Canis lupus familiaris: one gene and its partner. The protein of the gene in region 1 purifies or fractionates together with the protein of each later gene. This does not show direct contact. Links are inferred from orthologs where the notes say so. Each region holds a gene or a part of one and is shown on either strand. Other genes may lie near its edges.

The links.
Region 2: the proteins of DCAF11 (region 1) and COPS6 purify together in Homo sapiens (affinity purification with mass spectrometry; 6 studies listed by BioGRID and IntAct, counting the BioPlex papers as one, with this or other methods). This does not show direct contact. The link is inferred for Canis lupus familiaris from reciprocal best matches to the Homo sapiens genes DCAF11 and COPS6.

The regions. Positions count from the first base shown.
Region 1 is NC_049229.1:4,246,734-4,250,097, forward strand, and holds the end of DCAF11 (DDB1- and CUL4-associated factor 11), read left to right. Parts: intron 1-56; coding exon 57-210; intron 211-600; exon of another isoform or gene 601-602; coding exon 603-755; intron 756-1,646; coding exon 1,647-1,753; intron 1,754-1,853; coding exon 1,854-1,988; 3' UTR 1,989-2,712; downstream 2,713-3,364. UniProt on the Homo sapiens protein: May function as a substrate receptor for CUL4-DDB1 E3 ubiquitin-protein ligase complex.
Region 2 is NC_049227.1:9,446,780-9,451,063, reverse strand, and holds COPS6 (COP9 signalosome complex subunit 6), read left to right. Parts: upstream 1-1,430; 5' UTR 1,431-1,455; coding exon 1,456-1,579; intron 1,580-1,800; coding exon 1,801-1,926; intron 1,927-2,119; coding exon 2,120-2,251; intron 2,252-2,578; coding exon 2,579-2,667; intron 2,668-2,756; coding exon 2,757-2,819; intron 2,820-3,125; coding exon 3,126-3,173; intron 3,174-3,250; coding exon 3,251-3,365; intron 3,366-3,458; coding exon 3,459-3,551; intron 3,552-3,643; coding exon 3,644-3,744; intron 3,745-3,850; coding exon 3,851-3,991; 3' UTR 3,992-4,109; downstream 4,110-4,284. UniProt on the Homo sapiens protein: Component of the COP9 signalosome complex (CSN), a complex involved in various cellular and developmental processes.

The DNA of each region.
Region 1 (3,364 bases):
ACAACCACCAGTATTCGCAAGCTCTGATGCCTTGTTATCCATCTGGGGATTCCCAGGGTGATGCCCGCTATCTCATCTCCAACTCCAAAGACCAGACCATCAAGCTCTGGGATATCCGACGCTTTTCTAGTCGGGAAGGAATGGAGGCCTCACGGCAGGCTGCCACACAGCAAAACTGGGACTACCGCTGGCAGCAGGTGCCCAAAAAAGGTGAGTGTGGAAGGTAGAAGCTGACACCTGGAGAGTGGAGAGTCAGGGGTGGAAGTTCCAATACTTAGCCCCTGGTAAGACCTAACAGGGGCACAGTGGATTTAACTATGGCCTGGAGAAACCCCATCCCCTTCGCCACACATTAATTCTTTGCCCAACTGTGCGGAGAGTTGGGGCAAGAGGCTGGAGATCACTCAGAACCAACTAATACAAAAGTATTTCAGTGTTTTCACAACCAGCAGAGCCACCTGGGGGAATATTAGGTGGGGAAAGAGCCATCAGTTGGGGATTGAAAAGGCAGTCATCTGTGAGTATCGATTGTTGCCGAGGACTAAGGGTGAGGGAAGATCCAGACTCCCTAATCTCCGGGCTCTCCGTGCATCCCTACCCAGCCTGGCGGAAACTGAAGCTCCCAGGGGACAGCTCCTTGATGACCTACCGGGGCCATGGGGTGCTGCACACCCTCATCCGCTGCCGATTCTCCCCCATCCATAGTACGGGCCAGCAGTTTATCTACAGCGGCTGCTCTACTGGCAAAGTTGTTGGTAAGGATTGTGTCAGGACAGGGGGCCTTGGGAAAGGCAAGAATGTTTCTCTGGCATTTCACCTGTAACCACCAGTGACCACCGTAAAAAGCCCAGTGGTGACTACAAGTGAAATGTAATTTAGCCTGGAGCAGGTCAGCCTTAAAACAGAGAAATAGAGAACCTTATATTCATCAGCATTCTAAATTAAGAAAGGGAACATAGAATTCTAATCAGTAAATATAAAAGATTGCCAGAAATATATGCAATTCTGTTTTTTAAAGAGATTACATATGAAAGGTGGGGGAGGGGGGATCAGAGACAAAAAGACAGCAGTTCCAAGTAAAGGATGTGCAGCCCCTAAAGCCAGAAGAGCGTACAGAAAGGCACACAGAGAAAAAAAAAAAAAAAAAAAAAAAAAAAAAAAAGAAAGGCACACAGACACACCCACCGCTTATAAGGAGCCTAGGATAGTGCCATACTTAGGGAGGCACTCGGATAGAGACCCACTGGGAAAGAGAGAATGATGCACCTCCATCCAGATGGGGAAGAGCAAATTCAGATGTCTGCAGATGGCCCATTGTTCACTTTGGTTATGCCTTCTGTGTCTTCTGGGTTTCTTGGAAAATTGCTGTAAAGAGCTTTAGAACCATGTTGCGTTTTCTTAGTGTAGACCCTGTGACATTTAGCTAGGGGCCAGGGAGAGATACCCAAGCTCTGCTGGACCATACTCTCAGCCCAAGGTAGGGAAAAGAAACTGAGGAATTAGAGCACCCTCTGGTGTGGGCTTTGCTCCCCTATGAAAGCAGGGAAGTTGCCTAAGAGATAGGTAAGTAGTGCAGATGAGGAACTATGAGGGGTGCTTGGAAGGTACTCTGGCAGCCCCTCTCCACTCCGGCCTTCCCTGGACAGTGTATGACCTCCTCAGCGGCCGCATCGTGAAGAAGCTGACCAACCACAAGGCCTGTGTGCGTGACGTCAGTTGGCATCCGTTTGAGGAAAAGATTGTCAGCAGTTCGGTGAGGTTACAAGGGTTTGGGGGGCAGGGACCAGTGCATGTCTGGGACTTGGACCTAGGCGGGGCAGCATCTCCTGACTCTTGTCACCTCTGCTCTGCAGTGGGACGGGAACCTGCGTCTGTGGCAGTACCGCCAGGCTGAGTACTTCCAGGACGACATGCCAGAATCTGAGGAACCCCCCAGTGCCCCTGCCCCGGTGTCCCACCCCTCTACAGCCTTTTCCTCCCCCCAGTAATTCTAATCTCCAGCCCCGTACACGGAGAGCCTCTTACAAGCTCTCTGCCTCTTCCTGCCTTTCTCCCTTCCGGGAGATCTTTGGGGACTCACTGGCATTGGATGGGGGAAACACAAGCCCAGGTTTGGGGGCCCTAGCTGAGCCCTGGAAGATCCTCCCCAAGGGGCGGAGTGGACTCCTCACATGCTCACACCCAGTTGGCTAGGGTCTCTATCTCTGGCCAGGGTCCAGCAGGACTGCCATTATCTGGGGTGTGCCCTTTGTCAGCAGGAGAACTGTCCTGAGTGTTTTTAATCATGTTTGGATGTTAAGTGTTAGCTCCTAGAGTAGATGCCTGAGGTCAGGTCTGAACTGAGCTGTCAGCCGGGCCTATTGCCCTGTCCTTCATATTGAGGATTAGACTGGCCAATCAGAAGGCCAGGCGTCCTGGCCATTCTTCCAGAGATCCTGAAGGCTAGAGCTCTAGCCTTTTTGGGGAAGGCATCCTCAGCACCCTGCTGGGGTGGGAATTATGTCTTCTCCTGCTCTGTCTGGGTCTTCAGGGTGGGACAGGCTGTGGTGTGAGAGGCTCCCAGTGGCCCCACACAGGGCAGGCCTTCCCTTCCCAGACTGTTCCATCATGTTGGCAGCCAGCAGTATCAAGGAGGGATGTTGAAGGAGGACTCCTTCGTCCTCTCAATAAAGGCTTTGGCTCCCTCAATAAATTCTCTCTGTGGGAACCAGGCTCAGTGTCTGTCTCTGTCTCACTCTTTCTTTTTCCTATCTGAGGCCTTTTATCCCCTGACTTCAAGAAAGTAGTTTTAACAGAGCCTTCAGATATGTTTCTCTGTGGGGAAAAAAACACCCCTTTGATGCCCCCAAGATGAAGAGAAATACCAGAATCATTTGTTAACTGAACTCTGCAACAGCTTCCTCACTGAACTCAGAAACTTCCAGCAAGTAGAAATCAAGATAGCAAGAAGTAAGCACGTCTTAGATTGGAGCCTGGAACACCCACATCAGCTTTGTTCTGGGGCTGGCCTTGGTACCAGTCTGGTCTATGAGAAGAAGTAGCCCAGAGCCAGAGAGAACCTACGGGTTTTGATGCCAGGCCTCACCTGGTGCTTCACATTCGGGACCTCACCTACCCTCACAGCCAGCCTTTAGTAAAAGTGTGCAAATGGCAGTGTGCACAGGTCAGGCAGCATGACCCTGAGCAAGCCCATGGTATGGTCAGTAGGGAACTTGGTTGGGATTCATATGCAGCTCTGATCCATCTGTCCCCATGACATTTCATTATCCCTAATGCAATTTCCAAACCAGGGTGCACACCTCCAGGGGTTCTGAAAAATACAACAAGGGGTGAAAGGGATACCTCTTTTATGGCTAAATAGGTT
Region 2 (4,284 bases), on another chromosome or scaffold:
TCTCCTCCTGGTTGGTCTTGACCAGAGGGTACTGATCAGGATGGAAGGAGGGCTTTCTAGACTTGTTCTGAAAATTAAAGATTTTGCCCTGACCATTCCTTGGAATGACACTTCTCCCTGTCCTCCCTCTCCCCACCCCATACCCACCCCAGGCCATCCTGGTTGCAGGCAAAAGGGAGCCTAGCAAACTCCAACTTAATTTTATTTCGGCCACCAGGATTCTCTTCATGGACTGACATAATTCTGGATCATAAAGACAATGACCATTTGATTGAGGGTGCTGCTCTCCAGCTCCCCCACAGTGGGCTGCGTGTGCTATGGCGGGCTGAACAGTGGCCCCCAAATACAGCCAGGTCCCAATCCTTGGAACCTGTGAATGTTACTTTACAGGGAAAAAGAGATTTTGCAGATCTGATTGAAGTATGAATCTTCGGATGGGGAGATTATCGTGGATTTATGATTAAGGATCTTCAGATGGGGAGATTATCCTGGGTTATCCCAGTGGGCACTGTATATAATGCCAGGTGTCTTTATAAGAAAGAAGCAAGGAGGGGTTTTATCGCACAAGGCGATGTGACTACAGAAACAGAGGGACAAAGAAAAAGATTTGAAGATGCTGCTAAAACACTGGAACTGAAGGAAACTGGAACACATTTCCTGGTACCTGCTGGTTGCGGGCACTGGAGTGGGCTCTGCAGGCTCAAGGCACAGGTCTTCACCTGCTTTCTGAGAGCTTTCACTTTGGATGTGGCACAGGCATACACTGAAAGAACCAGCTAGACAAATGGGTAGGGGAGCAAGGGGGAGTAAACGCAGTGCACAGCGACGTGCTTGGGCGTAGGAGTGGGGAGGGGTCGGAGTGGGCTGGGTTTGTCCCAAGCGAGTTTTGAAAGGCTGCTGGAGATGGAGGATAGAGGGAGGCCGGGAAGGGCTGGAGTGCTGGGCACGTTCCTAGTATGTAGGTAATACGGTATTTGCAAGGAGGAAAGGACACGCCGGTGAACCATTCGCGACCAGGTTTCACCTCAGATTATCCACTCAGTGAAATACCTATTTAGGTCCTTGGCTGTCGGGTTGGACGCGGCAGAGGCCCGCACGTGGGCGTGGGGCATACGAAGGGAACTGCCAGGGGAGCCGGCGCGGCTGAAGCACGAGGACCGAGGGCCGGGTGGCAGGCAGGGTCCTGACCCTGCGGGGCCTTGCACGCCATGGCCCGGGCGCGGATCTTGTTCTGAGGGCAATAACGTGGTTCTTCATTAATTCTGCAACAGTCTTAGGAACTGGGCCGTTTTATCCCAGTTTTACTGACGAGGACGGTAAGGCTGGGAGCGCGCAGGGTGAAGTAATTTGTCCCAGATCTGTCACCGCCGCAAGCGCGTGGCGGACCCGGTCTTCCGAAGTCCACCCGCTCCGGGGCCGCCCGCCCCACCCGCCGAGGCCCCGCGCCCACTGAGCATGCGCCGCTGGCCTACGGAAGCCGACGGGGAGGGGGCGGGGCCGAGGCTGGCGGGCGCGGGGAAAATGGCGGCGGCGGCGAACGGGACTGGAGGGAGCAGCGGGATGGAGGTGGATGCGGCAGGTAACGGGCCTCGCGGAGGCGGCCTCTGGTGACGCCCCCCGGGGAGCGACAAGGCCCCCCTGGACTCCCGGGAGGAGTCAGCAGTCGGGACGGCGATCCCGCCCCCTGGACTAACTTGCGGGAGGGATGTATGGCTCCGGCTCTGCCGTCTCCCGCTCGCAGCTCCGGGGCAGAACGTGCGGCCCCGACGCTCACTCGTCCTCCTTTTCCTCCACCCTCAGTAGTCCCCAGCGTGATGGCCTCCGGCGTGACGGGGAGCGTCTCCGTCGCTCTTCATCCCCTCGTCATTCTCAACATTTCAGACCATTGGATTCGCATGCGCTCCCAGGAGGGGCGGCCTATGCAGGGTGCGTGCTGGGCGTCAATCTCCAACCTCCTCTCCTTGGTCACCTGCCCCAAGTAGGGGTCTTTGCCCCCGCCCTTCCTGAGGCCAGTCCCCCCTCCCCAGGTCACCGTGTCTCCAGCATTGCGTTCCCACTGACCTCGACCCAGGGACCGGATTCTTAACCCTCCTGTTTTCCGTGTCGCTCTCTCCCCCAGTGATTGGGGCGCTGATCGGGAAGCAGGAGGGCAGAAATATCGAGGTGATGAACTCCTTTGAGCTGCTGTCCCACACCGTGGAGGAGAAGATTATCATTGACAAGGAGTATTACTACACCAAGGAGGAGCAGTGTGAGAGGGGGATAGACTCGGGGGTGAGGAGTGGGAGTGAGAAACAAAGGCAGAGTGGGGAAGATGGAGAGTGATGGGGAAAAATAGGAGAATGGGACAAGAACTGTGTTTGTGTGAGGAGAGTATCACAAAGGATCTCAGAAAAGGAACAGTTTAGGTACCCACCCCCCAGACAGTAATAGATGAGAGAAGATAGAAGGGACTAATTATTGAGAACTGAGCCAGGAGTTGAGCGGGGAGGGGAGAAGCTGATGAAAAATATACCAGGAGTTTCCAATGAAGGGAGGGTGATTTAAAGAATGATACCCTGTGCTCTTTCCCCTGCAGTCAAACAGGTGTTCAAGGAGCTGGAGTTTTTGGGTTGGTATACCACCGGGGGGCCGCCTGACCCCTCTGACATCCACGTCCACAAGCAGGTACACATGCATGCTGGTGCATGCTGGGGCAGGGCTTGAGCAGGGGAGGAAAGATGGGCATTGACACCCACATCCCCATTCCCTTCCAGGTGTGCGAGATCATCGAGAGCCCTCTCTTTCTTAAGTTGAATCCTATGACCAAGCACACAGATGTGAGTAATACTGACCCCATGCCCACTTAGGCACGGTGCTGGACAAGCATGACAATCTTACCCTCCTCCCCTGCTGTGCTTTACATCTCTGTTGGGCTGAATCTTCACTTGAGGTGAATTCTCCGCTCAGCAGCTGTGTGACTTTAGGTTAATCATTTAATCTCAGAACTGCTTTTTGCCCTATGTATAAGGTGGGGGTTAGCCTTACTTCAGTGGGCCCTTGGGAAGATTGGGAAAATCTGCAGAAGAGCCAGTACGGTAGCCCAGGTGCACTTGATGTAAGAGCTGTCTCCCGTTGCTTTACAGCTTCCCGTCAGTGTTTTTGAGTCTGTCATCGATATAATCAATGGAGAGGTAATGCCCTGCCTTTCAACCCCGCGGTCCTGCTCCTTGGCCTTTCCTGCTCCTGACTCTGCTTTTGTGCCCTGTAGGCCACGATGCTGTTTGCGGAACTGACCTACACTCTGGCCACAGAGGAAGCTGAACGCATTGGCGTCGACCACGTGGCCCGAATGACAGCCACAGGCAGCGGCGAGAACTCCACAGGTAAGGAAGACTGGAGGTGTTTCCTCAGCAGTGGGGGGTGGAAAGCGTGGCCAGGTGCGTTTTCAACCTTGGCCTCTCCCTGTCTCCCCCCAGTGGCCGAACACCTGATAGCACAACACAGTGCCATTAAGATGCTGCACAGCCGGGTCAAGCTCATCTTGGAATATGTCAAGGCCTCTGAAGCGGGTAGGACAGGCGTCTCCCTGGCACGCCTACCACTTTTTCTCACTCCTGAGGGTGACCTCATCCACATTAATGCAGTCCTTCTGTGCCTTTAGGAGAGGTTCCCTTTAACCATGAGATCCTGCGGGAGGCCTATGCTCTGTGTCACTGCCTCCCTGTGCTCAGTACAGACAAGTTCAAGACAGACTTTTACGATGTGAGTCTAAAACCCAGGCTGGGGACGTGGGGTTTGTACATCATGTCTGCACGCAGGACCCGGGACTCAGACATTCCCTGGGCAACTGGTTTTCTGTTCCTTCCAGCAATGCAATGACGTGGGGCTCATGGCCTACCTTGGCACCATTACCAAAACCTGCAACACCATGAACCAGTTTGTGAACAAGTTCAACGTCCTCTATGACCGACAAGGCATCGGCAGGCGGATGCGGGGGCTCTTCTTCTGAGAGGGTACTTGAAGGGACGATGCACAGGTTGGACAGTGGTCCCACAGGGGAGGGGCATCACACTCCCTTTAGAGAAACCTCCTGTTGATAATAAAAGAGGAGCAGCCCCTCAGCACCCCTTGCAGTGGCTCTGTCCTCTCTGTTGGGCACCACACGGCTTTCTCAACTCGGATCTTGAAAGGAGGCCCTTGGTTCCAGCCTTGCTCGGCAGGACAGCCTGATTGGGAACTCTCTGCCACTTGAGGTGACCCCGTCCTGTCAGGTGGATGCATCTATACTGGGCCAAAGGCTGC